Linked DNA regions of Oreochromis niloticus. The protein of the gene in region 1 purifies or fractionates together with the protein of each later gene. This does not show direct contact. Links are inferred from orthologs where the notes say so. Each region holds a gene or a part of one and is shown in the gene's direction. Other genes may lie near its edges. The genes, in order: hnrnpub, ilf2, prmt1 and rfc4.

Region 1 (7,345 bases):
CTGCTCTCCCTGTGGTCTCTAAAAACATGACACGCCCCATCCCACTTAAGAGGACAAAAATAAATAGCCTTCCCTCAATGGAGAGGACTGTGGAGATGACACAGGGATGTCGCCATGAAATATTCATGGACATTTAAAACCACTGGCGCAGGAATGTCACTGGTTTACTTTGGCGTTCGGAGTCCAAATGATGGATTTTGGCGGTGATGAATGTGCAGACGTGCACGCTTCTAAAAGGCTGCACTGAAGGTCCCACATGAGCCTTAGAACACTTGTTAAGCATCACCACTATATGCCTCAAAAGGAACTTCCAGTTATGCTTCTGTGTGACATAAGTGTCATAAAATGCTTTCAGAGCATGTGTATTGGAGTTTATCGGTCCACGCTGTCCCAATCTTACAGACTCTCACTAAAATATCATAAAAGACAATAAAATCCAGTAAATATTTGGTAGCAAGAGCCTTTATTTATTCCGTCATTTAGTATATTGTGATTCACAAAGTCTGCTTTTAACATTTTTCATGCATATTTATTCTTATTTATTCTTTCAATTCACAATATTCATGCCCAAAGGGGTTATTTGAGGGGGAAAAGCAAGTTTGTGAATACTTTTGTCATTGAATTGCATCAAAAAACAAAAAATATGAATGTGCATTTTTTTAATTACTGTAACAAATATACACCAGTAGCACCTGCTGAGAAGCATCCATATGCATTCAGCTTCATATTTCATTTCAGTTACGTGTTGTCTGTTGAGTCCAAACACGATATTATTACTGTAATTATATAGACTGCTTCGAAAGCATGCATGCCACATGAACCCCCTTTCCATCACAGCATCATTGTCACTGACCTTGTAGGAGAAGTGATGGTGAACAGCCAGGCTAAGGGCTTGTTTCTTCAGAGCAACAAGGGTCGCTGAGCACTTCTCGCAACGCACAACTTTCCGATCGGACCTCCCAAAGCCGGGATTCGCCGACATGGAGCCTCCTCTACATATAGTCCTGAAGGACATGGTAGTCCGAATGCGGTCTCCTACAGATCCAGGGAGGGACTTGTAAGACGGGACATCGTCTGCTCTCTGGCACATATTCCCATATGGGTCGCCCCTGGACCCTCCGGCACCCACAGGAGAGGGGCGCTCCTTGGACTGGCGGTCCTTCCCTGCGGAAAAGCCGGCGGGCTCAAAGTGATGCTGCACTTCTGTGCTCTGAGAAATAAATCATGATAAATAAGGATGTATGTGGGCTTTGGCAGGGGGAAATTAAATATCAATCGACTTGGGCTACTGTAACCACACCCTAATGTTTTGTTTTTTCTAGTGCAACAGTACTCTCAAGAAACTCTAAACCCCCACAAATGCTAACAAATTTTGCCCAAAACGAACAAATCTGACTTACCCAGAGTCCTCCTCTGATCGAGGCTGGAAACCCCTCTCCTCCTCTTCCAGTCAGAGATGACATGACAACTTGTAAATATTTAAAAAGATATCCGAACAAAGGCGGGGGGCATTTTCTGTTTATTGTTGCCAATCCTCGGGGACGTGGTGCAAAAATATCCACTCACGTGAGCGCCTAAAAGAACAAACTATACAACAAGCTGAAATGCTGGGCACAGTCTCTAAGAGGTGGAGTGATGGCAGTGGCACAGTGGAGAAGGAGTGAGAGCGCACGGGAGAACACTTCATGAAGTCACTTAGCTATTTATTATAAGCTCCTCAGGGAGGCAGCACGGAGCAACTGCTCGGAGAAACCTTAGAAAAAGGAGCAGGCGGCTGAGTGTTTGTATTTCTTGATGTGATTCATGTCCTACATACTGTCGCTGTCCCGCAAATGTCACTGCACCTTCTTACAACGGAACAGTCTGACAACATGCCTGAACAGACGTGTGCGCATGCGGAAATATCTATCCACATTATTCTTACAGTGGTTGTTTTCACCTTAGCAGCAATGGTGTCAAAGAGAAACTGCAAATATATCAAAAATATTTCCAAATGACTGAAATCCATGTCTCGGAAATGTATTTATTAATTCATTAATACATGATAAGTTAGTGTTTAATTAATACTTATTTTACTCTAAGTGCTTTAAGGAGCAAAGAAAAGTCATGTGTGTATCTGAGGGGTAACAAGTCCAGCAACAGAAGCGTGCTTGCTGTAGGGGTCACCATAGCAGATCATCTGCCTAAGCTGAGTTGTTACAGGTTAATCCTGTAACTCCAAATGTATCATGTTTTTAAATAAACTGAACAATATATTATTAAGCAGTAAATTGGAAAAAAAAAAAAAAAAAACCCAAAAAAACACATGCATTGAAATAATTAGTACCCCATCAACCCAAGAACAGTTTCAATTCAAACAGATTCAATAAACATTTTCCAAACAATTTTCCAGCAATTATTTCACAGTTGACATAGTTTACTTATGATTTACAGGATTAAGTAGTGGTATTAATAATGAGCGTGTCTCAATCTGTTAACACAAACTACCTTTTTAAATGTAACCAATCGGGATAGAAACCCAAGGACTTGAAAAGCTAGTTCCCTCCGAAGATATAGAAGGACAATTGTTCTGAAGTATTATGAACTTTAATTTCAGTGATCACCAGGATCTAAAAAGCTGTATGTACAGTACCAGTCAGATCTGACAAAAAGGTGTACTGATTTTACCCTGAAACAGGGTTTATGACCTCATGACCTGTTGTTCATGGGTAATTCTGCAGCTATTTTCAGAAAATATGATGGCAGATGTGATGAAATGATTTAAATAATGTATAATTTTTGTCATTTTATGCAAATGCCCAAAGGAAATCCTCATTTCCAGGTAGTATTTTAATAAAATTATTCACATACCTTGTGTTTCTAAAACACTGAATAAAATTCCAAATACAGATGTGCATAAATGTTTAAATATATTTCAACATTTAAAAAAACAACTGTCTCACTGAAGTTTTTTCAGTCGTACAGTCGCGACTTTTCCAGGTGAACTATTTCCACATGTGCACCATTCTGAAAACTACAAAATACAGTTACAGTAATTTTGTTATTTTTCATTAATTTTACATATAGATGTGTGGATTGATATACATATTGTGTGGGACGCATCGTAAGCATCCCGCATTTGGGTATTTGGAGCTCTTGGTTCTGGTATTGAAGGCGTGTTTAGTCTTGGTGGTGTTCAGTAGTGTTTAGATTCAAATCGCTAAGTGAATCGAGCCTTCCCTGTATCCTGCTGTGTATTGTTCGGTCTTCTTATCTGTTTGTGATTCCTTGCTTAGTTGTTTCCTGTTTTATTTTGACAGCGGTTATTCTCCGTGTCTTATGTGAAGGTTAACTTCCCCCTCTGACTCATTAGCTTAATTTAGATACAATCTTCTAAACTAATTATTACATGATTCGTAGGCACGATTTAGTTTTCTTTCATTTTGAAAAATATCAGTTTACCATTTATTAATGATACTAACTGTAATGCCCTTAACAGTTTGACAATGCCAGGTATCAAAACAAAGAGGTACTTCATCTTACGTCTTTAGACTGAAAACAAAGAGTTTTTAAAAAGACTGTAACAAACTTTAGACGATAATCCGTCCAGAAATGCGAGATCCTGCATTTCTCAAAATGTAAAAGAAGTTTGGATGTGACTTTCTATTGCAAAAACATAAATCTCAAGCCTAAGGTAACTCCGATGATGTAACCAAGGCTGAGCTTTGGCCACTGAAGCTCTTTATATAAAAATCGGTGTGCGCTGCTTTAAATGAGTATAACAAAGAGTTGGCAAATCACCAAAGCGCTTTCCAGAAGAGTCCACGGAGTTATGTGTTGTTTAGAAGTGCATGAACATTTTCAACATCAACTCTGAAAAATCTACAGTTGACAGAAATAACAAAAAATAAATTTTAAACAGTAATCAGCTGCTTTCGTTACACGGGAGAGCGATAACGTGTATTCAGAAAGATATGTGTCGGCGTAGTTAAATATCACATTTGTGCCTCTTCTTGGATTTTATAAAATTGAAAAAGGGGCGAGAAGAGAGAGATCTTTGTACTGCATTGTTTCTAGCTTACCGATACTGATTATTCGTGTTGCACATTACGCAACTATTCGTGCTTTTACTCTACTGTCCTGGCCTGTCTTAAACTCACTGCCTGGTTAAACAGCCCTCTGTAAAATCTTTTTCGTTAAATAATGATATAAACTAGTTAATACCGTTCGCGCTCTTTATTGGAACCATCTTTTCGCGTACTATCTGCCCCGCTTTTCCACAACAATGGTTTCTGAAAGGGACGTTTAGCTGCAGTGACAGATGGCCACAGGCTACATAACCAAGCTGCGCCTCTCTCTGGGCAGTTACGGTAGGAGACGACTCCTCCCCCACACCGCAGGCTCAGCACAGCTCTGTGCCGGCAAAGGATTGGTTGTACAGCGGGTGCCGTTTGGCGCAGTTTTGAGCTACATCCGTTAACAAAGGGCGTCCATTTATTTATTTCCCGTGTTATTTTAGCGCGTTCGCCGTCAAACATTCACCATGAGCACAATTAACGTGAAAAAGCTTAAAGTTAACGAGCTCAAAGACGAGCTGAAAAAGCGTAATCTTTCGGACAAGGGGCTGAAGGCCGAGCTGATGGACCGCCTGCAGGCCGCGCTGGACGAGGAGGCCCTCGCTTCTCCACAGGAGCAGGCAGCTGAGGCGGATGACGGTTTCGAGCAGGCCGCCGACCAAGAGGGTATGGCAGAGGAGGAAGAAGGAGAAGGAGAGGGGGAGGGAGAAGGCCCCGTAGAAGAAAGCATGGAGGCCAACGAGGAGGAAGAGCCGGAGAGTGGAGGCGACGGCAATGGCGTTGCCGTGGACGAAGAAATGGGCGAGGGAGAAGAGGAAGGAGACGAGGACGATGAGATGGACCCCATGCTCAAGGGGGACGTGGACGACATGGAAAAAATAGATACGGAAGACGGTGAGCCGGGAGAGCAGGCTGCCGAGGGTGAGTCGACAGAATCGCTTATGTAAATGCGGCTGGTTGGATGTGTCGTTTTTTTGAGAAAGCGCTAGCGGTGAGGAAATTATAAAATTTGAATGCGCTACCGCACAGCAGAGCGTCCATGTTGAGAGAGAGAGAGAGAGAGAGCGTGACCTCACTACTAAGCTAGCCAGCGTTAGCACCGGTCTGCAGCTTGGTTAGCAGTCGTGTCGTAACCTTAAGTAGCCACAGTCCAGTCTACTAAAGAGACCTTTAGCGTCATGTTGAGAGCAGTCGACTAAAATTACTAAAGCGACTCTATTAAGAAATTTGCTACCGAATTTAGCTTAGTCTGGCTTTAAGTTTCGGTTTGGTTAGCGTGTTAGCTTGCCAGCTAGCGTCAGTTTCTTTGTGTCTGTTGTGCAGTGCCAACTAGCTGTTCAACCGGTTAGCTAATTCAGAGGTTCCCGGTGTTCCAGCTGGGGGCGTTGGAGAACATTTGCTTTCACATCCCATTTTAGAATGGATTGACGTGAAAACAAAATGTTAGAAATGGCCACTGCAGTGGGCTTCTTGCCACCCTTTCCGCCTTAATTGTACCGACATCGTGTCTTGGGGTCGTGGGTGTTTGCCTTTAAAGGTTGCCGGGAACATCTGAATTAGCTAATCCCAAGATGTGCTGAGAAAAGGAAGGGCGCCGCACTGCTCGTATAGGTAGGACGTGGGTAGGTTTTTTCCCCCGTGGTTTTTATAGATAGTGTTGGATGGTCATAGAAATTATTAATCTAGGCAAAATCAGTGCAGTGTCGCGGGGAGGGGGGTGTAAATCAAGGTCTAAGTAGGCTTCCCCGTTTCCCTGCATGATGCATTTGTCCCTGGCAGCAGTAGATTTGCCCTCCTTTTAATGAAATAGATTTGTATCAAAAGCAGTATCTTTTAAACCCTTTACTGCAGATTAGTAACACTTTACTTATTAGAGACTTGTTTACCCAGCCCCATTCACAATGTTCATACGGGCCAGCTTATATTGTAATTACTACCTGGTCTTTTAAAGCTGTTACAGTTTCCACAGTATGATTGTCTTGTTTTAAGTGTAACTATGAGGTGTTGCCTCCAAGTAACCTTAATACAAATGATAATGGTCGACAGACAATGTAACTAATGAACGGGCTTTGTGGGCCAGAACCCCACTGCCAGTCCGACCTCTCTCTCCCAGAAAAAGGAGCACCTCATTCTATATCTTTGTTCTATTTTCAAAGGGGATGCGGACAAAGACACGAATGCTGATCAGAAGAATAAGAAGGGTGTTAAGAGACGCCGGGAGGAACATGGAAGGGGCTACTTTGAATTTATTGAAGAGAACAAATACAGCTGGTAAGGATGGGACAGAGCGAAAATGGCCTTCAGCATCCCTGAAGCGCCATCTATAGCTTTGTTGAATTGTATTGGCTTTAAGTGCCAATGCACATAACTAGCAAGAGGAAAACCCTCATTTTTTTCAAGTATTATACTACTTGTAACATTATTTTCACACACATGCTTTGAGGGTCATCCCTGACTACTTAAAGAACCTTACCATTTACCTTTTTACAGTGCCCACTCACACTGTTTCTTTACTGGACTGCATTCTGTAGCAGAAGTGCATCTATCAAGTCTCTATGAATCCTCACACCTGTTCCTTATGCCACGTACTGTTTTGGAAAGCCTGTTGTGTCCCCAAGGTGAAACAAGGCTGCTCAAAGGGGAACCCAGAGGAACGTAGCAGATGTGCAATTTTCAGTGGGTGGGTGGGGAGAAACTAGCTCGGATTTGTGAAGAAGGGGTCCACTGCCGCAGGGTAGCAAAAAAACCCAAAACTCCAACGTCTGTTTGGAACGTCCACGGAGAAGCTCGCTATTGACCGTCCATCGTTACGCCTCGCAGTGGTCTATTCTTTTTCTTTTTTCGTTTTGTTTTTTATTTCACTGGTTGTATGATGTCGAAATGCTATTTCTGTCTCATGTATCATGTCCTGTGTGTGTGTCTGTGTTTTCATGGTGTGGGTGTGTGTGTGTGTGCGCGCGCATTTGCAAGGTTCTCTTTCTACCTCTGCTAGGTGACATCATGCATGGTGTGTGTGTGTGTGTGTGTGTGTGTCTACCTCTTGGTCAGTGTTTTGTTTTCATTGCGATGTCGATGCACTAAGGGTCAACAGGCAGATAATGGAATAACTTTGTGAAAGTTTTTTATTTCTTTAAAATTATTATTTTGGGAGAACCTTCGTCATGAATGTTTAGGCCAGGGCGGCAGAACTATTAGAACACCGAAGTATTGCTGCTCCATCACTTTTCCCTGAACAGCCAACTACTTTTGTGCAAGGATCCATTTTTCCCCAGATGTCCAGTATTTGCATT
Region 2 (6,991 bases), on another chromosome or scaffold:
CATCTCCACCCCACCCACTGAACCCCAGGTGGAGCCAATAGAAACCACAGAACCCTGAACTCAGCACACAGAGCTCACAGTGGTGTCATGTCAGTCACAAGAGACAGCTTACATCTGAGTGTCAACAGGGAAGCCATATTCCGTATGTTATGCGTTTGGAAAATAAATGTGAATGTTTAACAAGTTTCTGGCATGTTTGATCACAGCATCAGTGTTAGTGCTGCTGTCCCTACAGTATACTATGGTGTAGTTGTGAAATGGAACAGTTTTATTACTAATGTTGACATGGTAGCACTTTATAATAATGTCACACTATTAAGCCTTATTAAGGTATTAACAAGTGAGTAATTCATCATTTACACAGCATTACTGCGCCGTAGTATGCCATTTATACTTCTATCAATATCAAAACGCTACATGACTTAGTAGATTAATAAAGTTGTGAAATATAAAGAACAGAATTGGTCGATATTATAAAAGCAGCGATTTTAGCCCACTGTCAGTAATACTGTGTTCGACTGCCCCAGCACTCTCATCCTGCTTGTAACTCAGGGTTTCTCTCATCAGCTGCTGACGTGTAAGCCTCTTACTTACTTATGCACTGAAATGTTCTCCAATGAGAACTCAAAGAGAGAAATATCTCTAAAAATATAACGGTCATAATGCTGTTCTCATCATTGTTTATTGTTTTTGGCAAATTAGGGACAAAGATGAGGTTTTCATAAAATCCGAGCAGTTGGAACTCAAGTCGTTAAATCCACAGGACACATATGTGTATCTCCACAGTTATTTTAGCAGATCAAACCTATCTGACACTGCTTTCATGTATGGCTTCTTAGTCCTGTTGTCATTCTTTGTTCAAACCACTATAATATAGAATTAATTGTAAATGAATGTATGAAAACTTTAATCTCACTGAAAATAAAATTACTGCTGCACAGATAAATCGCTCTCTAAAGCTTAGCTTGAAATGTTGAATTGTTACTAATGATTTTTTTTTTTAGCACAAATCTGCTGAATCCAAAGCGGGGTTGTTCTGTCGAGTCTACAGATTGTATATTAATGGAATATTAACCACAGCCTTGTCTTTTTTTTCTATATAATTTTTAGATCATTGTGAATCTTCCTTAGCATGCACACATAAGGCCACATTCAATTCTGCTAAATAAAGTCAAGCTTTGTTTTAGCTTTGTGTGATTATGTGTAATTAATTTCATGTTTGTGCAGAGAGCTGAATGTTGCTTATGGTAAAAAAAACAAACAAGCTAGACAGTGAATAAAGTTCAGGTTAGCTAATGTAGTTTATGAGACTAGTGTCCATCATACTTTTGTGATATAATGTAACAATAATATGACCAACATTAAATTTATTGCATTAATATGTGGAATATAATTAAAAATTAGAAAATTAACTAAAAAGTGACATTTAACTCAGCACCTCAGTAAAGATTCAAGGTGCATTCAGTAATAATTTAGCAGTATTACTCAGAATAATCTGTAAACTGGGCCACATTAGTACAGCGTGAGCTTCGTTGTTACTTGATCCACACAAATATGGGAAAAAAAGTTTGCTATACCAAATATTATTTTATCTTCTCCACTACTACCTGCATTCCAAATATTGTACAGGTCTGTGGTTTATGTGCTTAAATAGCCGTGTATTTATGTGAAACCTGTCTGCCAACCCGAAATGATTACAGATCCATCCTGGCCCCCTCACTGACACCTTCCTGTGTTAGGATCCCTGGGTCATCGACCCAGTGGTTTGTGTTTTGGTTCTTTGAGTTTGTTACTTCATTATATTCTAGTTTTGCTTTTTGGGTTTTTGGATTATTCTTAGTTTGGGTTCTCTGGGTGGGTTCTGTTAGAGTTTTAGTGTTCTGGTTTTCTGTCTGTTATTCTGAGTTGCTGTCTCCCCTGTTTGCTGTATCCCCACGTCCAGTCAGTGTCTGTGTCTGCCCTGGTCCCACGTCTTTGTTCCCTTTGTTATAATGCCTGCCTGAGAGTCTGTGTTATGTTTCCTGTTTTACTTTGTAAGTCCATTTCTCATGTTAGTGTATCTGGTTTTGCTCTCCTTGTCTCGTTAGTCCTGATTTGCCCCAGCTGTGTTTCCCTCCTGTTGCCCATTCCCTGATTGCTCCCTCTGTGTACTTAAACCCTGTGTTTCTTTGAGTCAGTGTCGCGTCGTCCCTCATGCTGTGTGTATCTCCCTGTGGCTCCCTGTGTGTGTTTTGTTAGATTCTTTTCAGTTTAGGTTTTGTAGATTTTCTTTGTTCAGCAATAAAGCTGTTTTGAGTTCACCGTTTTGTCTCCGGAGTCTGCACCTTGGGTCCTATTCCTGTCTGCACACAGCCGTAACATGACATCCTGGCTCCGCCTTAGAAAACATTCATGCTTAGAAAACATTAGCATGAATTCTGTCTTACCTTTGCTGTCTTGCTTCCAAAACTTAAATCCAGCGCAATTAAATTGCATTAACTGAATAACTCCATTTCCCACAATGCCTCAGAGCAGGGACATTTCACTTGAGCAGCATCAGTCTTTGCACAGGTAATATCCATTCATGGTTTTTTGGAGTTTATTGTCTACTGCAGCATATTTTCAAAGGGGTGAAATGCTATAAAATACAAAACACATTTAGGCATTTTTCTGTGTTGAGTTACTTTGGCACAAAAGCCTCCACTGTAATATTTGCACCTCTGATGAAGTCTCACAGGTGTAAGCTTTATTTTGATAAGATTACTGCTTACACAGAGTTTGTAATTGAAACTCCATCTCATCTTTTCTTGTAATAACTTTACATATGAAAGTGATATTTGATATGTCACTTTACAAAGCTGCAAGAATGAACAATTTCTGCATACATTACAGAAAGTGAGCCAGACACAAAATATTCATTTGAAAAAAATATAAGTAAGTCGCAACAGAGGTTTTCAAAGGCTAAAAAGAATGAATATTTGAACATCTTCAGTTCCATGACAACTGGACAGCTCACTAAGGAACATTAAATGGTAAATGGACTGGTTATTATTTAGCACTTTCAACTCTGAGCTCTCAAAGTGCTTTTAATTTGCCTCATTCACACCAATTCATACATGTACTTTTTCTATATGTATATGTAAGTTCTGTTTATATAACATTCACACACATTCATACTCCAGTGGATGTGTCAGAGACGAACTTGGGGTCACTATCTTGCCCAAGGATATTTGACATGGATATTTGACACTGGAGTCACAACTGGTTGGAAGATACTAGCTTCAACTGATATACATGGAATGCATTCTCATGGATGTCAGCAATTTGAGGCACACAGCCACAGAGTTAATGATTTCTTCAATGAAAAGCAGTCCCAAGTAATGTGGTTTCTTTGACATGCATTTGAGAGGACTGTCCTTCGAGGAACCAGACTTTCTTGCCTTCCACATACTGTTGGGCTAGGGACCTCATCCAGTCAGTGAACTGGCGGTTTTGTTCTGCTGTGCGCTGGAGGAAAGCATAAGATTCTCCGGCAGTGGTTTAGGTGATGTTGGACTTGTCAGGTCACAAATTTTGAAGCCAACTTGAAAACCTTCTCCAGCCAATGATGTCCAGATCCTGCTTTTTAGATCCCATTATAATCAAAAAGATCCTCTAGAAAAGATTAAAATTCTGGAAACAGTTTATTAAACAGAGTCATATGAACAGCAAAACAGTACATCACATTACACAGAACAGCAAGACAACAGATCACAAAGCAAGCAAAGCAAACCTCAGGCTGTAGAGGCTGTAAGCACAGACAGGAAAAAGCTGGTGGGGGCACATCTGATGCTCCTTTATAAGGAGTCGAAACCTCTCCTAAACACCAATCAGTCCTTTTTGACAGTTTTAGGGCCAAAGTGAGGTCATGAAGTTTAAACTTAATTTGGCAGTTATGCTTGGATTTACATAATATTAGGTCTACATTGTTAGAATCCCAGCCGCAGTGAGATTCTAAAAATGTCCTGTGGAGGGCAGTATTGAGCTTAGTGTGCCGCCCATTGTAACAGAAGAAGTCGACGACTAACAGGCAGCACCGAGAAGCCGGTCCACAGAGGGACGTTCAACAATTCTCTGAGATTTTCCACGTACAATAATCAAAACGTCGTACGCAATGAGGTATCCGAGTGTAGCTCGTTGGGCAATGTGTTTTAAGTCGAGTACTATCAAGTCTTTGAATTCTTACCTCGTACCTGTGCTACAAGCTAGCTCTGAGTGCCTGATAGAGCCAGTTACTGCCTTCGTAATTTAAAGCCAGTGGCGTGTATTGTCTGAAAGCTCGCTGCTTTCCTTTTTTTCCTTCAATGAATCCAAACGTCCGAGCAGCGTGTAGCAGGAGCTTCCTCGGTGTAGGGAAGGCTACAATAGTAGACATATGTTAGCAACCATCCCGTTGGCTAATAGCTACCCTGCTGGAAAGCTAAATGAAACAAATGTGCTTTGGCTCAGTGAAGCAGCGCTGATGTAGTGCATTGGTTTCTCTACATTAAGTCATTACATCACAACATCATTACACGTTGGCTCAGTCGCCAAACGTGGTTTGTGCACGCACTAACGTCAGCTGTGTTGTGTTTGTGTCCAGAGGAGACCGCGGCAGAGGCCGAGGCGGCCGCTTCGGGGCCCGCGGAGGACTGGTCCAGGGGTGAGTTCACCAGCCCAGATGTGTTGGCTGATTTTCAGTAATGTCTTGGTTCGTCGTTCGAGCGCTAAGCCCCATTTACACGTTATGTAGGGAATATTACTCTCTTTGTGGTGCCAGGTGTTTTGTCCATAAAACACAGGTCACCACGACTTCATTCACAAAGTCCAGCTCGCTCCAAGGCCTCATAAATGTTGCTGGCAGTGTGAAGTGACAGTACCCATAAGGCTACACGGGTGTAAGCAAAACTCCGACATCTGTGGATGAAATAAATCATTTTTAGAAATTTCTCAATTTCCAATAAAAATTCACAAGTAATAAAATAACATTTGTTTTGCCGTGAATCAGCTTTTATCATTTAGCCGTGACAGTGCAACGAGGCGCTCTTTAAAGATCTCATGAACATTTGTTTTTATGATGATGTAACGTGTGAGCTATGAAAATCTGACTGCCAGCGTTCTGTCAGCACACTTTCATGTTTTGCTGTTAACCTAACTGCTTTTGTTCCCTACATAACACAATACATTTTTATAGTATAGTACCAGCTTAGAGTGCTGTAGTGCTGTAATGCTGAGGAATCAGAATCAGAATACTTTATTGATCCTTAGGGGAAATTATTATTTAGGGGAAAGAACCTGAACCGTAGACACTTTCAGGGACGACTCATAACCACCATAAAAGTACTGTGTGCGGCATTTATGTGCTTCACTGCAGCTGAACTCGTCTGGGTTCCTGTTTGCGTCTCTGCAGTCCCACATACTGTTGCTCCAACAGCACCAGTCAACACACACACGCTGTACTGTGCTCCTGTCCCTCTGCTTATTCCACTACAGAGAAGCAGACCTCAATGTGTCAGAATGTAAATGCTGAAATCACTATGCTTCATATTTTTGTGTCCTGTTCTCAGACAACAGAACAACTGTGAAATCTTGCCTTCAATGTTGTGCTTTAACACTGCCAACCCCGGTAACTGGAATGAAAACCACTAACACTGCTGTGTAACCACTGAAATACAGACCCTGGAACTGCAATGTTGTTTAACCAAATCTGACAAAACTTTATTTTTGTTTAGGTACCGGCCATTTGTCCCACACATTCCATTCGATTTTTATGTGGTAAGTATGTGTGGTGGTATGAATTAGAAACTTTTCACCAAATTACAAAGCAGCAAGACGTCAGCCAGCAGTCAGTGTATAATGAAAGTGTAGAGTGGTTCTAAAGGAGCAATGCAAGTACTCAAGCAGACTGTTGTTTGTCACAAGTGTGAGATGGCCTTCCCCAGAGTGAAGCCTGCACCTGATGAGACGGCTTTCAGTGAGTGTCTGCTGAAAAGGAACCAGGATCTGAGCCCCACCCCTGCAGAGCAGGTCAGTCCGTGAGCCTGCACTCATTCAGCAGTAATGGAACTGACCTGCTGTTTCATTTCACTTACACAAACCTTGTTCGTTGTCCGTCAGTCTTCCATCCTGTCCCTGGTCACAAAGATCAACAATGTGATCGACAACCTGATTGTTGCACCTGGCAACTTTGAAGTGGTGAGTCGAACATGAGTGAATGAGTCGTAATGGCTTCAGTGAAGTGCACACGCTGCTTGTGTCACTGGTGTGTGTGTCAGCTGTTCTCTCAGAGCTGAACTGAAACTCAAGACTGTTTAGAAACAACACTGAATCACTTGAATACAGTTAGAAGTATCCAGTAACAGTGCTTTGTGGACTATACAGCTTCATTTTCATTGGACAGATTTCATATTTATATTATAAGCTAATTAATAATAATGTCTTTCATGTCAGTAATCTTGTACTTGTCGACTTGTAGCAAATTGAAGAGGTGCGTCAGGTGGGTTCCTACAAGAAGGGCACCATGACGACAGGACATAATGTTGCTGACCTGGTCGTAATCCTCAAGATTCTCCCTACATGTGAGTAATATATGGCACAATTACACTGTCTAAAGAGAAGTTGCTGCTCCAGCACACATCATTTCTAAGCCTAAGAAGCTCGGAAAGAAAAGCATCTGGACTTCTTTAGGTTTCTTGAAGACGTTTCATCTGAGAAGCTTCTTCAGTTCTAAGAGAAATTGGCAGAGAGTCCCAGATTTTCCATGACGCTCCCAAATAAGGTTTCAAATCTGAGACTCTCCACCAATTTTTCTTAGAACTGAAGAAGCTTCAGAACCTAAAGAAGTCCAGACGCTTTTCTTTCCAAGCTCCTTAAACTACGATGACCTGGATGACTGAGAACCTTCACAGACATCATTTCTAAGCCTTTTTGATGCTGTACGTTGTGCTGCTTCTTGTCACTTGGATAATTTGGCAACTTGTTTGCAGTTATTAAA
Region 3 (7,514 bases), on another chromosome or scaffold:
CAAAATAAAACCCAGATTAAGACACACGAGCTTGACACAGACAAAACCATAAACAGACATGAAGACAAGACTGACTTTAACACTAGAGTATTTTCACAAGTGTTCCATCCACTTGTGGAAACTGAAGAAGAACTACACTAAAAAGTAATATGGAACTGAAAACAAAAGAATACATAATGTAAACATATCATCAAATAATCCAGGACTCACAAACAATGATATGATGAACAGAACTATAAAGAACAAAACTGAGAAATGCTCGGTAAACTGACCAAGGACTATGTCATCATGTCATTTTTTAATATCATAGTTGATGTTTCCTGATTTGTAGATAGTGCCATCTTACAAATACCAGGAAATCCAACTGGATGACAAGCCAGAGTTGTCTGCCCACACACCCACTGACTAGAAAAAGGGTCCAGGACTCTTCAAGCTGGGATACAGGCATAATAGAAAAAGATGTAAACAGACTGAAGGTCATCAGGAATGTATAGTCTGTTGTTTATGTTATGCTTGTCAGCCTGGAGGAGGTAGTCAGTGACAGACTGTTAGCAATCAAGGACAACAACTCTCATCCCCTCCATAACACACTAGACAAAGCGAAGAGCATTTTCAGCAACAAATTCCTTCAACCCTGCTCTCTGAGGGAATGACACACTAGGTTTTTCCTTCCTGCTGCTGTCAGACTTTTTAACTCATCCACTTGTGTCAGACACATATTGAACAGGAATAAACATGACTCACTGCACTCTCTCACTTGTTTCTGAATTCTTTGTCTCCTTATGAATAATGTATATAATGTTCAATAATTTCATGTAAATTTAAGTCTTATTAATAGAAACTGAGAAAAGAATGTAATTTGTTTTTACTCGTTTTGATACTTGGATATGGGGATTAATAGGTAGTTAATTCTATCTTTTCATTATGTTCTGTATTTCAAACTGTAAATTAAGCTTGTTTGGTTATATTTTTTATTCCATTCTTGTACTTTTTCATGCTTGTACTTTTAATACATTTTTGATAACATAAAAATAAATTCTGAAAGAAACCCGCATTTTTCAATACAGAATTCACAGATATTTTCAAAATTGATTTGGCATGCAGTGTTACATTGGTAAAGTATAATATATTGCATTAGAAACTTTCACAGGATCAGTTCTGGACTACATCAAGTTCTGTACTGCAAATGTGACTGTGGACAAAAGCATTCGGGTTTTCCCAAACCAAAAACCCTGGATGACCAGCGAGGTCCGCTCACTCCTCAAAGCCCGTGATGCCGCCTTCAGGTCAGGTGACAGAGCTCTGTACAGGGCTGCTCAAGCTGACCTGAAAAGGGGAATTAAAAAAGCCAACACAGACCATAAAGGAAGCATCGAGTCCCACCTGTCCAGCAACAACACACGGGAGGTGTGGCAGGGAATACAAGACATCATAAACCACAGAGGCAGCACTGCGAAAACAGAAAACCTGAGTGTGCAGCTGGCAGAGGAAATAAACAGCTTCTTCGCCCGCTTTGAAACACCACAACAGCAGCATTCATCTGCCTCAGCCCTGCTCCCATCCTCATCCTCACCTGGTTCCTGCACTGCTCCACTCACTATAACGGAGCACGATGTCAGACGTGTGCTCCTAGCAGTGAACCCCAGGAAGGCGGCCGGTCCAGACGGAGTACCTGGCAAGGTGCTAAGAGCGTGTGCCCCCCAGCTCACCCTCATCTTCACCCTCATCTTCAACCTCTCACTGGATCAGGCAGCCATCCCATCCTGTCTAAAATCAGCCACAATCATCCCAGTGCCGAAGAAGTCTCCCATCTCCAGCCTGAGTGATTACCGCCCTGTGGCCCTCACACCGGTAATCATGAAATGCTTTGAGAGACTAGTCCTTCAGCACATCAAGGATTACCTCCCCCCAGAATTTGACCCCCACCAGTTTGCATACCGTCCAAACAGATCCACAGAAGACGCCCTCGCCACAGCCCTCCACGCTGTGCTGAGTCACCTAGAGCAGCGGCAGAGCTACGTCCGAATGCTCTTCGTGGACTACAGCTCAGCCTTCAATCATCCCGGACATCCTCATCACCAAGCTGGTCACTCTTGGCCTCCCTCCTCTCACATGTGCCTGGATAAAGGACTTTCTCACAAACCGGCCCCAGACTGTAAGATCTCATCCTCATCTCTGCTGACATCTCCTGGACAGACAACATCTCAGCAGATGTCAAGAAGGCCCAACAGCGACTGCACTTCCTGAGAGTCCTCAGGAAGTACAAGCTGAACTCCAACCTGCTGCTGACCTTCTACTGCTCGTCCATTGAGAGGCTGCTAACCTACTGCATCACAGTATGGTACGGCAGCTGCACTAAGGCGGATAGAGCCCCCTAAAACTAGTCATTTTTTTTCAAATGACTACTCTTACACTAGTTTTAGTGGATTTTTGATATAGAAGCAGAATGACAGAATGTTAAAAGAAGTTACCTTTAGTCGCACTAAGCTGGGCATTGTGTTCTCTGGCTGTTCAAAGCCATAGAACTTTAGACTTTCCAATTAAATAATGATGGCCATACTGATGTTCATTTCAGTACATTTTACTTAATGTTCATTTTCAGTTTTATGATGTTTCCATTTTTACATAATTCATCCCACATAGCAAAATTGGTATGGCCTGGATCTGTCCCACACAATGTGCTTACACATGGCCCACATACTGCAAAGAATGACGGCCTTTTGGTGGCCCAGATCTGGTTTACCAGATGTGGCCCACACATGGGCCAGCACAAGGCCAGTTGCAGACACACTGCTGGCCCTGTGCTGGCCCAGAACAGTTTCAGCTCTGGCCCCAGATGTCAGCCTAATGTGTACCTTAATCAAGCCATGTAATAACAACATGTGCCAGAACATGCAAAACAGTGCAAAAGTAACATGAAGAAACTCTGTTCAGACAGTGAACGGACTGATTCTTACACAGCGCTTTTCTACTCTCCCAGATTACTCAAAGTGCTCTATACAACATGCCACATTCACCCAATCATACACTTTGTATAAACTGAGTGCTTCCTAACTACATTCATACACTTGACATGCAGACTGGAGGAGCCAGGGATCGAACCTTCCGACCAATAGGCAACCTGCTCTACCTCCTGAGCTACAGCCAGCCACTGGCAAAGATGAGTAAACCCTCACTAGGTTTTGGATAAAGTGTACACTCACAAACCTGTCAAACCTGCATTTGAAACGTTGGCTACCATAGCAGTATAGTATTGCAACATGGCATTTGGGTCTTCTAACTAAAACAGGAAAATAGGAACATAAATAGTGCCATCATTGCCAGACCTGGCCCACATCTGGTTGACATACACCCTGCCATGACACCAGTCAGTCAGAAGTGCCAGCTTGATGCCAGATCTGGGCCAGACCTGTTTTCTATGAGCCAGGGCCACATCAACCAAACCACAATCGGGCCAGATGTGGCATGCCATCACATAAACAGGGCTTGACCTGTCTGCTATGTGGGATGACTTGTTCTTTTGGAGTTTTAGTTGTGGATTATGTCTGGGCTGTGTCTCTTGCCCTTTCAGTATAATATTGTTTTCTTGTGCTTCTAAGTGTCCCTTTGTTTCCACTATGTTTCTTTTTAGGTTATGTAGTATGGGTTAGGGATATTTTGTATGTTGTTTTAGTTTAATAAAACCATCTTTTGGATTATTCCCTGATGTGCCTGAGTTCTGTTATTTAGTGTCACTTTGAAAGGCACACAGAAAGCCTTGACATATAATTGTTCTTTCAATTTTTGATAAATATTACAGCGGATTGAGATGTAACGTGGCCCAGAGGTACAGTAGGTGGCCTAGAGGAGGATTGTGTTGAAAATTGGACATCAACTATTAAGGATGATTTGTAATTAATTTTTTAAACATTACATAATTGTAGTGTATTGAGTGTATTGTATTGAACATAAATGTCATTTAATTTCTGAGGAATATTACAGTAAATCTGGATGAAACCTAGCCCAGAGGGGCAGTAGGTGTCCCAGAGGAGGACTGTGTTGAAAGTTGGACATCAACTGTCAAGAATGATTTTTAATGAATTTTTGAATATACAACCAGACTGTCCCGATGGCTGTATTGGGCTGTCCCATTGCAATTTGTGTGCGCGCGTGCGCACGTGTGCGTGGGCCTATGCTTTTGATCGGGAAATAACGAGAAAAGGCGCTGCCGTAAAGGCTGGTGTAGAAGCGCAAGAAAATTTATGCGGCGGATAAGAAGCGGCTGGCTTGACCGCGGTGCTTTACCATGATGGGTGAAATCCTCCAACAAGGATGCCACACATACAGGATTGTTTCCATTCATTCACTGGCATCAGTTCACATTTATTCAGTGAAGGTTACCAAGTGATCACGGCCTATTTTTAGGGACTTAAAAAGATCGGAAGTATTCAAACACGTTAAAAACACAACAGTCTTAATGGACGGCGGTTCAGTGTGGACCCGGAAGCAGGGTTTTACGTCATCACTTAACAACCGGATTAATTTGGAGGCAGGGCCTGTCGTCTGCACCAATCAGAGATAAACGTTGGCCGTCGTGGGCGGGACAAAGGGAGACGCTTACAGACCCACGCAGCTACTCTGGGTAGATGATCGAAATGGCGGCGCCAGCAGAAGGGATGGAGGTAAGGTCTTATAGTGTGAAAATAAGCCTCACTTATATTTATCTTTGGTAACGACACGCGGTCATTTTATGAAGTCGTGCGACATTGCGTACACGGTTATGTTTTTAGCTTTACTTAGCACATGCCTACCAGCTAGTGATGCATCCATTTTAACTTGGCTAAGGCTAATAGAGCCTTAGCACCGTTGGCGCTCATTCATCTAACATATATGTGACCGAGAAAGGCCACTCCGACACTTCACCAAGCACGTACTGCGGCTGATCCCCACGGCTGTTTGACGCTGGAAGGTTAAAGAACAGAGTCGTCCTTTTAGCTAATGCGTCAGCCGGCTGCTGGCGATGGAGCGAACCTGTCGTGGACCGCATGGGTGCTACCGTGTTAGCTTCTGAACTCGTTAGCTAATTGTGCTACAGAGTTGAACTCTTTCTTGGTATTTTCTTACAGTTTATTCATAAACTTGTTCTTTAACAGATGTCACGTGATTTCTGCGATAATCTTTTCCCTTTAATGTAGTTTACAGGCGACAGCAGCAGCGCTGAACTAGCCGCGTTAGTAGCGCATCCTCAGGGTGATAAAGAACTACGTTGTAGGCAGCTTTAGGTGTTCTGCCTCTCATAGAGGTGAACAAACGTGCTAGCTGTACTGAGCCCGAGCCGATAACTACAGATGAGGTAGTTGGTGTGCACGTGGAAACCCAGTGTTATCGAGGAAGGCCAAGAGCGCGCGACTTCTCAGCCATGTGCCACCATCTTTTGTGCGGCCGGAGTTCACGTTAAAGTGGGCCACGTGTATTGGCCCAGCGTGGAGCCTGTTTTAAAAACTCTAACCCGTTTAACTCTGTCCGTGAAGCCGGACTGGGAACCAAAGTCTTTTCAGTTCCCGTGTCTAAAGCACGTGGAGCGCCATCTTGTCGGAGTACACAATAGGACATCACTGATTCGGCTGTTGCCGCCTTCAGCCCTGTTATGGGTTTCCCCCCTGCAAGAGATGATTGATGCTTATGGTTGTGGTATGATGCCTATACCTGTTCTAACTGGTAGGGTGTGTTTGGGGAAAAGAAGTGGTCGGCCCCAGTATAACTGTGGGTTACATCACATCTTAATGTGCCCTAAAATACTGTTGTGGGAACTAGGGAGGGAAAACAGAGGGACACAGCCTGGACTTCGGCCTGGTGGGAGACCCTCCTCCTCCTCTGCAGTCCTCATTTACTTACAGTTAAAAGATGGGAAACAAACAAGAAACTCTTACACTGGCTGCTTATCAGCTGTTCAGTGAACTCAGCAGTTTCCCTGGAAAATTCAAAGAGGTTAAACACATGATACAGGTGTGTGTGGAAAGACGGTGAGGCCTGTAAGGCTGGAACAGAGTTGCTATATTAATACATTTAATTGTTTGAAGCCAGCAAAGCTGCTGGTTGTCTGAGTTTAGCAAAGATGATGTTTAATTGAGACGATCTTGGTCTTCTGTGAGGTTTCCCAGGGGGAGAGCTCAGCCAAGCCTGCAGCTGAGGACATGACATCTAAGGACTACTACTTTGACTCATACGCCCACTTTGGAATTCATGAGGTATTTTTCTGGTTTGTAATCTGTGTGTTTAGAGCAGTAACTCAAGGAAACTTGTGTGTGTATTCATGAATCCTGCTTTTGTGCTGTAGGAGATGCTGAAGGATGAAGTTCGCACTCTCACGTACCGCAATTCCATGTTCCACAACAAGCACCTTTTTAAGGACAAGGTGGTGCTTGATGTGGGCAGTGGGACAGGTATCCTTTGCATGTTTGCCGCCAAAGCTGGAGCCAAGAAGGTTATAGGGGTAGGTGTTTTATTCACCAATCAATGGTAATGACATCACTCACAGCTAGCGATGGTCCCTTGATATAGTTGATGTGTCTGTTTGTTGTATTTGATCTCCATAGATTGAGTGCAGCAGCATCTCTGACTATGCTGTGAAAATTGTCAAGGCCAACAACCTTGATGATGGTGAGTAAATAGAAGCCAACATGATTTCAGTCATGTGATCATATTTAAAAATGCATACTGAGCTCTACTTGTGTCTCCAGTTGTGACCATCATTAAAGGAAAGGTGGAAGAGGTGGAGCTGCCTGTGGATGGAGTAGACATCATCATATCAGAGTGGATGGGCTACTGTCTCTTCTATGAGTCCATGCTTAATACAGTTATTTATGCCAGGGACAAATGGCTGGTGAGTATGCATATGCTCTTCTGTTTATTTGAGCAGTAGAGCTCCTGTCAAACACGTGAATCCTGTTTCAGTCCTGTGGGCGTTTGTACTATAAAACGTAAATTTGATACGTTCTAATGTACCACCTTATATGAGGGTGAGTGTGCTTGTGAGTTGGGTTTTTCTATGATGGCTGCGACAGCATGTCCCTGTTTGTGTAAACCGTGCAGTCACAGTGTTGGCTGTGGTAATGTCTCGCTGCTTTGCATTACATGTATGTGTGCACTCAAACCTTTGTTCCTATCGCACCGCTGGGATGCTCCTTAAATCTGTAGATACATGGATTTGAGTTGGGCCAGGCTAAGCTGTGGGGATGTGTCAGCCTTAGTTTTGTTGGAGATGTGTGAGGGAGCGTGACGATCACTTTAACTTTGTAAACTTTTTAAATGAGAGACGTAAACCGTTCCCACAGCCTTTCATGGCCCAGTGTATGTTAACATTATGAAATGGTGCAATATTGGCGTGGAAACGGGACAAGAGAGCTCAGTAGTAACTTTATAAATGCAAAGAACACATGGCAAATGAAAAGGAGTGAAGAAATGCATCATGGGAAGCCCCCTAGGAACCACTAATATTCCAGCAGTCTGAGAGCAAAGTGCTCTACGGAGGTGAA
Region 4 (7,559 bases), on another chromosome or scaffold:
GTGTTTAACTAATTAAGAGAGAATGCTTGAAGTACTGCAACAACATTAATGTGTAGGTTCCTATAAAGTGGGCTTCTCTTTAAATGCTGTTCCTATAAAACTACTCGTTAGCACATTGTGTTTAATAGACTGTGAAATGAAGTACAATTATAGATTAAGTTGTCATCCATTCAGTTTCTGATTCTCTGCATTAGTATGCTTTTGGTTGTGGTTGAATAGTGGAAAAAAAATGACCACCAACATTTTTTGGTAATCACTTTCACTTGACCCTGATGAGAAATATTATAAAGTCATAGAAATGATGGCGATTTCATAGTAACTTTGAAATCCAGTGCTCAGGAAATTCAACTGCACTTATGCTTAAAAAGTGCATTCTGTTAACATGGGTCTGCTGTGGTGAAAGTACAAAGTCCTGTAGATGAATTCCAAATAGGTGCATCTTAGATAACATGCTTTTTATGCAACACTGGAATATAGCAGCCTACCAGTCGTAACAGTGAAAAGCTGTACTAGGAAAAATTGCCTCACCTAGCCATCGACTCATACTTTACCTTCCCGCTGAAGAGGTGATTCACTTTAAGTCTTGCCTTTATTAAAGCTTCAGCATCTCCCAAGTAATTTTGTTAAGTAGCACAATGCTCATTTAGCTGTCAGTTAAACAAATTATTGAAAGAAGTATAAATGCATATTAGGCCGTTGCAGTATGGAAAAGAAAAACCTGCAGTAATTTACATGATAATCTGTGTCGCTTGAGTGTAATGTTAAAAGTTTGTTTTCATGAGCTCTTAATGCATATTTGAACTGTGGGAGAGCAATATTTTCTCACCTTTCATAAAGGATGGTTCAATGTATCCAGTGCTAAAGGGGACCATACATGAAGCAATGCAGCACGTTTACTTAATTAGAGAATTCATCCAGCTCTTATTATTGTTCCCACACAGTTGCTTCCAGCTTCATGTCACTCACTTAGGAACCTTCTCAAGTAAACTGACTGTTAAACTGCAGCCTTTGAGCCCATCCGAGCTGTCACTGGACACACACTGATACTGGTCATCCATCGCAAAGCTAACATTGATAGACAGGCAATTATTCACACATTCACACTTTTGTCAGTTTAGGATCACTGATTAACCGACACGCATAGGAGGAAACTGGAGTACTTGGAGAGAATCCATGCAGTTTTTGTTCTTTTTTAAAATATATATTCCTTTTATTTGCCTCTAAAAAGTGGGGTTAGGGTTACTTGTAATCATCAATCACAGAGAGAAAAGCCCTTTAACTGGACATCCAATATTTGTTATGAAAATTCTGTATTGTATAACTTTAAGACTGAACTGAAAGGACTGAAGTATTAGAAAGAAATATAATAATGCACAAATTTTATTCATAACAAATTGACCTGCGGGATTTTAATTTTTTAAGTAGCTGCATAGACATACATAGATCATTGATGGTTGGGTCTGTGTATTCATGATGTGCAGACATAAATCAGTTCACAGAGTCATATTGTAGTTTCATGTCATTCTTTTTTGGACTGAAACAAGTCACACTACTGTAAATCAAGTAACTTCAGAGTGCAGACTTAAAATGAAGTTACAATCAAGTTAGCATGAGACCAATATCAATAGTTTCTTAATTATATAATGTGTATAACAGGTTCTTTTAAAAACAGGTGAAGAATATAACAATATCCAGTTAAATTAACACCTTTACAGAATCATCTGTGCTGCAAACACTGGTGGCAGCATACTGAGCGAGCATGATTTCCAGTAAATTAATTCAGAGCCAGTTTCCATAGTAACACTCTTCACAGGCTGCCCTCCGCCCCCCTACCCATCATTCTCTTAGCTACTGTGCAGTGCAGGCAGTGCAGCAATGGAGAATACTGTGCAATGCAACCATCTCCAGCGTGGCACATTAACCTACTTCCACACCAGAAACAACCCGGATGCGGAATTAGAGAGCAGGAGGTTGAAAAATGATTGATGAATGAGGAGAGGAAAGCAAAGAGAAAAGACGTCTGGAAAAAAGGGCTTGAGAGGACCGAACAGCATGGAAAGCAGAATGAAGGACACACAGAGGAGAGAGAAAGGACGAACTCGGGATGGAAAAGCAGTGATTACTATGAGAGAAGGGCAAAGAGGAAAGATGGAAATAAAAGGCACAAAGAAAAAGCAGATAGAGTAAAGGTAACAAGACAGAAACTTAAATGGACAATATCAATGGAAGACTGAATATGTATCATCATTATTCATATTAAAACAAGAAAATAAGATCCTGGTCTCAGTAATATTTACTCACATCAAAGGAAACAGTTAATGTATGCCAGTGAAATTGAGAATGAATTGAAAGATCAATTTAAAAAATGTTGATTGCTGCTGAAAATCACAACTGAACCCAATGACTTCTCTGCTACACTCTTTGGCCCATGTTCCTTCTTGCTCATCGCATCCCTCTTCACTCAGTGGTCCTGATGAGAGGATGGAAATTCCCTGCCTCCATTTCATTTGCCCTGCTTCCTAATCACAAGTCAAAGATTTATAGATAAAGATCTTTCAGCACAATGAGGGTATATTCCAAGAGGCGGGCTCTCCTCAGAATTTCCCGTGAGAGGATACCGTTTAAAACATCTGCTCCTCTTATTCTAATTAATCCACCTGAGAGTGAAACATGAACAGACAGACAAGGGGGGAAACTGAGAAGATATACGATGACTTACCGACATGAGTGATGACACACTCGACCCTCTGTAGCAGCTCCTGAACCGACATCTCGTCCTCTCTCAGCCAGCACAGCATCTCAGGGTGTGGGTTGCATCCACTCTTCCCTTGATCTCTCTTCGTCTCACTCTCTCTCTCTGCTGCCACGCCTCCTCTTGTCACCCTTCCACCCCAGACAGTCTCCCCTGCTTTTGCTCCCTAATCCAATTTTCTCCCCTGAGATTTGTGTCTCCCTTTTTTCCCTCGTATATGTTGATTCTTATTTATATTCCAAGTCCTTCCTCACATTTATCACCATCACAGACAGCCACAAAGCCTGGGGATAATGATAATGTTGATGCCACTCCCAGCCACTTAGCTAAATAGTAAGTCTACATATAAAATAACCACGCTGCTAGTAAGGCACATATAAAATAACAAAAAAAAAAAAATACCCAGTTAGGGTTGATAAAATAGAAAATACAATAGCTTAGTCAACTGAACAATGAGCAAGATAATCTGTCAGTCAGTGTTCAGTGAAAAACAATGGCAAGGTAACTCTTAAGCAATTAAACAATAAAAGCCAGAGCAAGTCAAGCAGAAAGACAACAAAATAGACAATTTGTTTGTCACCCTATCAGTCAGAAAACTGTGCCAATAGTAAAAAATAAAACTGCATTTTCAGAAAATTTGCAAGTAAAAACATCCAATTATTAATCAGCCATCCAGACAGTGATAGAGCCAACCGTTCCTTGTCATGATGCTCCAAGCCCCAACTGAAAACCAGAAAAATCCTCATAGAACAAAGTAAATATTTACAGCGCACCTAAACTAGGAAAAGACAGAATGCTCCTCAGCCAGGGGAGATAGTTGAGTCCACTCCATTGATAGGGAAACTCCTCAAGCTTGATGGGCAGGAAATCAGTGGTGCTGCTGCTTTGATGATGCTCTATTTGCTCTCATAAAGAAGCTGAGTCACACAGAGGGAAAACGAATCAGAAGGCTGCTTCACCTGCCTGCAGGGCGGAGGGAGAGAGACAGAGCTGGCTGAGGGTGGGGTGGGGGTTAATAGGTCCAAGAGAGAAATCCTGGTGCCTGGAGCTGGACTGTAGGAGTGGAGCCTCAGGAACACACAATGATTATCAAATTAAACATAAAAAAAAAAAAATTATATATATTCTTTTTTTGTTGAATATGTGGGAAAATAACATAAAATAACATAAAACATTTTTAAAACCCTACATATTTAGCCATCTGATTTAATCATCATCACGCAAGAGCACAAACAAAACAAATCATTCATGCTTTCACTTCATTTGGTGCTACTAAAGCCACTCTGCTAATCCAGCTCCACATTTTGCCTGAACCAAACAATGTAAGGGGCTCTAGCATCTCTCCATGGCCCTGTATGCTCCTGGGACTGTCTATTAGCCGGAGACATCTGTGCTCTTGCTACTCATTCATCTTCTCTCTGCAGGCAATCACAGGCCGTACAACAGAAACAGCCAAGATCAATGGCCCATCAACTGGCAGACAAAACAAAGCACATAATCCTGTATTTCTTAGGAACATGACTACACAGTGTTTGTTTTTGTCAGATGAAATCATTAAATATAAACTATCGGATTATTTATTTGTTTATTTGTCTAAAATTTAACAGTTTAGAATATAAGCGGAAATATTGCGTATGAACAAACCAAACGAAAATAACAGGAAATTATGAAGGCTACAGAATGAAGAGGAGACAAAAAAGCCCCTCTCCCCCAAAAGGAGAAAGGGCTGGGAGGAGACGTGACTAAGGAAACAAGCGGCGTCCGCACCATATGATTGGAAATTACACAATGACGTCGACGGAAGTGTCTTCGGCTGCTAGCGCGGGAATACTCACTGACGCTGTTGAAGACACGGAGTTAAGCAGACAGGGGTCGAGTCAGCTGCCAGAATTATTATTACTAGAACTGCAGTTTTAGATATTCATTCACTCCGACCTTGGAATTGTTAGGTAAGACTTCTAAAGCGGTTCATGTTTATGAAAAAAGACACAAGGTGGCCCTTTGGAGTTAACAACGGGGCTAATGTTATTAGCTCATAGTAAGCACAGTGGCTAACTCACCTAGCCTCGTTAGCTGCCATGATAAGTTGTGCTATAATGCTAAAAACAGTGCCAAAGAGGACCGCATGTACCATTAGCATTTAATGTTCAGGGAGACAGTGTGGAAAACTTTCTTTAAGTGTTTACTAACCGCAGCTAACATGGGCTACACACTAGTGATGTCTGGGTCAAGCTATCTCTGCTGTTCAAAGTAAACTCCTACCATTACTTTCTCATTATCGAGCTACATAACGAACACAGTTCTGTCTGTTGTGATGTTAAATTTCTTAAGTGCCGCTCTTGCATCCCAACGTTTCGATGTCAAATTTTAACTTTTACTGTCCAACGAATGAAATAAGGCTGGACGTTAACGTTGAAAATGATCGTTATGTCTTTTTCCTCCAGTCGTTCAACCATTCTTTAAATGATCTATTAACTGATGCTTGTGCATATCAGGTCTAAAATGTATGGAATGTTCAGTACAATAGAGCGATCTTTCTGAGGCGTGCCTCTTCTTCTTTTGGCTGCACTCTTTAGGGGTCGCCACAGTGGATAATGTGCCTCCATCTCGCCCTACTCCTAGCATCCTTCTCTGTCACTTCAACTCTGCATGTCCTCCCACACTACATCAATGAACCTTCTCTATGTTCTTCCTTGTTTCCTCCTTTCTGCCAGCTCCATTTTCAGCATCCTTTGTCCTAGATATCCACTGTCTCTGCACTTGTCCAAACTGTTGTCAGCCTTGGCCCTCTCTCTAACTTTGGCTCCAACACTACTCCGTAATCAGTGGTTAGGAGATGGTGACACTAACAAAAGACAGCAGGCTAAGCTGGAGGTGGAGCTAAAGATGCTTTGATTTTCTTGAAAGTTACCTTAGAAGTTTAAGGTATATGCACCCCTTATTTATAATAAGGGGTGCATATATGATGTAGATCATAATTGGTTTGATAATTTGGATTTCAATTATTCTGGCGTGTTATGGTTTACTTGTTAGGTGACTTATCTTTGAATATTGCAACTTTCATGAGACTAGCTTGATTAAACAAGGCATTAACAGCTACATATGGATATCATGGTACAGGAAGATGGAATTCAGCACAGTACTGGACATTTGTTTGATCTTTGTTTCCAAAATATTGTTACAACCTACCTCTGTATAATTATGATATAATAATTATAGTGTGTGCATTTTGTATGTTCATTTTAGTAGTCATGCAAGCCTTTTTGAAAGGAGCAACAGTTCAGGCAGCCAGGCCTCAGAAAGACAAGGCAGTGGTTGGACCCAGTGCAGAGAAGAAAGCAAAGGCTGTTCCTTGGGTAGAAAAATAGTAAGTATGACCCACAAAGGTGTACTGTACACTACATCTGATTAACTATACAGATTTACAGCAACCTCAAGAATCCTTCGGGACAAAACTTTTAACCGCCTTTTAACCGGGGGGCTGTTCAGTATTGCCATAAAAATACAATATATATGTATATATTTTTTTTAGTCTTGGGGTTGATTTACAGAAATGTTTAATCTGTAAAATGCATAATGAATAATAGCATCATGTGTCTCATTTTTACATTTTGATCATCTTTTGATGTCACAGTGAAATTCAGGATTGTTTCTTGACTCAAGATGATTATTAAATCCCCCAAAAATGGAACACATATTTTGCATGTAAGTGCATTGGAGGGTGACCACAGAGCTACAAATACAACAGTTGGACGTGCCTTTTTTTCCTTCCCTATTTTTACATGAATTTCTGGTCCTCATATATAATTTTGTGAAAATTTCTGTAGCAGCTTTTAACTGACTGCCATTACATCACAAATTTATTATTTATATATTTATTTAATGTTCTGATGCAGTGCACTATCATCCTAATATATTTTATTCTATCAGTTATTGTGTAATAGATAGTTACACTACAGTATTTTAACCTGGTTCTGTCTTTGTGATCTTTTTTTATTTGTGTTCTTCTCTCCTTGTAATTTCGTTCAGCAATGCTTCTGTGATATGTTGACTAAGGACAATAAAAGAATCTAAAGTCATATTTTTGTAAAACTTTTGTAAAACACACAATTATCACCTAATAGATTTTCAAATTATGATATAAGGTCATATTTTTTATTTTAGAGGAAAGACGATGTGAAATGTAATGGATTGTGAGTCATGTTATTGACTTTCAGATTTTTTTTTAATTTAACAAATATTTCACGGTGATGCGGTTAAAAGTGCTTCTGTTTTGTTGTTGCACAGTTCTCTGGAGTCTATATATAATCTGTATCCTGTGCTGATATTGAAGCTTGCAAGGTACTCAAACCAGATTTTTTTTTTTTTTCTCTTTCTTCAATGAACTCCAGCAGGCCAAAGTGTGTTGATGAGGTGGCCTTTCAGGAGGAGGTTGTAGCGGTGTTGAAGAAGTCTCTGGAAGGAGCAGATGTAAGTAACATTTGGTTGTTCTTTTTTTATAGCCTCGGCTGCATTACTGCATTTGGTTTGATAACAATGAAAATGCCGTACACTCTGGTTTTTGGTCCCTTTAATCTTTTGATTCAGAACACAGCCTTTCAAGATCATAATGTGGAGGGTTGTTTTGGGTGGAAGTGGACAGTAAACATTTCCCTTATCTGACAGAAAACTTTAGTCAGCAGACTTCCGTCACCTGATGGGAGATGAGTGTGTTTTTGTTCTCGTGCATGTACCACGTATACCGTAAGAATGTTTTCAAACTTGTGTCAGATTGCTTTGTCACAATGTAGCAGTGTATTGTCAGATA

The links.
Region 2: the proteins of hnrnpub (region 1) and ilf2 fractionate together in Homo sapiens (co-fractionation; 3 studies listed by BioGRID and IntAct, with this or other methods). This does not show direct contact. The link is inferred for Oreochromis niloticus from reciprocal best matches to the Homo sapiens genes HNRNPU and ILF2.
Region 3: the proteins of hnrnpub (region 1) and prmt1 purify together in Homo sapiens (affinity purification with mass spectrometry; 4 studies listed by BioGRID and IntAct, with this or other methods). This does not show direct contact. The link is inferred for Oreochromis niloticus from reciprocal best matches to the Homo sapiens genes HNRNPU and PRMT1.
Region 4: the proteins of hnrnpub (region 1) and rfc4 fractionate together in Homo sapiens (co-fractionation; 3 studies listed by BioGRID and IntAct, with this or other methods). This does not show direct contact. The link is inferred for Oreochromis niloticus from reciprocal best matches to the Homo sapiens genes HNRNPU and RFC4.

What each region holds. Positions count from the first base shown.
Region 1 is NC_031980.2:811,764-819,108, forward strand, and holds the start of hnrnpub (heterogeneous nuclear ribonucleoprotein Ub), read left to right. Parts: upstream 1-4,342; 5' UTR 4,343-4,522; coding exon 4,523-4,976; intron 4,977-6,211; coding exon 6,212-6,326; intron 6,327-7,345. Other genes in the region: kif26bb (kinesin-like protein KIF26B), read right to left, coding at 854-1,210, 1,401-1,463. UniProt on the Homo sapiens protein: DNA- and RNA-binding protein involved in several cellular processes such as nuclear chromatin organization, telomere-length regulation, transcription, mRNA alternative splicing and stability, Xist-mediated transcriptional silencing and mitotic cell progression.
Region 2 is NC_031985.2:35,583,809-35,590,799, reverse strand, and holds the start of ilf2 (interleukin enhancer-binding factor 2 homolog), read left to right. Parts: upstream 1-3,980; 5' UTR 3,981-4,132; coding exon 4,133-4,137; intron 4,138-4,600; coding exon 4,601-4,660; intron 4,661-5,729; coding exon 5,730-5,772; intron 5,773-5,919; coding exon 5,920-6,024; intron 6,025-6,114; coding exon 6,115-6,192; intron 6,193-6,472; coding exon 6,473-6,575; intron 6,576-6,991. Other genes in the region: uncharacterized protein si:dkey-81h8.1, read left to right, coding at 1-58. UniProt on the Homo sapiens protein: Chromatin-interacting protein that forms a stable heterodimer with interleukin enhancer-binding factor 3/ILF3 and plays a role in several biological processes including transcription, innate immunity or cell growth.
Region 3 is NC_031969.2:2,252,481-2,259,994, reverse strand, and holds the start of prmt1 (protein arginine N-methyltransferase 1), read left to right. Parts: upstream 1-4,511; 5' UTR 4,512-4,625; coding exon 4,626-4,661; intron 4,662-6,131; coding exon 6,132-6,227; intron 6,228-6,316; coding exon 6,317-6,472; intron 6,473-6,575; coding exon 6,576-6,639; intron 6,640-6,719; coding exon 6,720-6,862; intron 6,863-7,514. UniProt on the Homo sapiens protein: Arginine methyltransferase that methylates (mono and asymmetric dimethylation) the guanidino nitrogens of arginyl residues present in proteins such as ESR1, histone H2, H3 and H4, FMR1, ILF3, HNRNPA1, HNRNPD, NFATC2IP, SUPT5H, TAF15, EWS, HABP4, SERBP1, RBM15, FOXO1, CHTOP, MAP3K5/ASK1, MICU1 and NPRL2.
Region 4 is NC_031986.2:29,303,789-29,311,347, reverse strand, and holds the start of rfc4 (replication factor C subunit 4), read left to right. Parts: upstream 1-4,540; 5' UTR 4,541-4,701; intron 4,702-5,998; 5' UTR 5,999-6,003; coding exon 6,004-6,119; intron 6,120-7,143; coding exon 7,144-7,222; intron 7,223-7,559. Other genes in the region: mcf2l2 (guanine nucleotide exchange factor DBS), read right to left, coding at 2,720-2,798. UniProt on the Homo sapiens protein: Subunit of the replication factor C (RFC) complex which acts during elongation of primed DNA templates by DNA polymerases delta and epsilon, and is necessary for ATP-dependent loading of proliferating cell nuclear antigen (PCNA) onto primed DNA.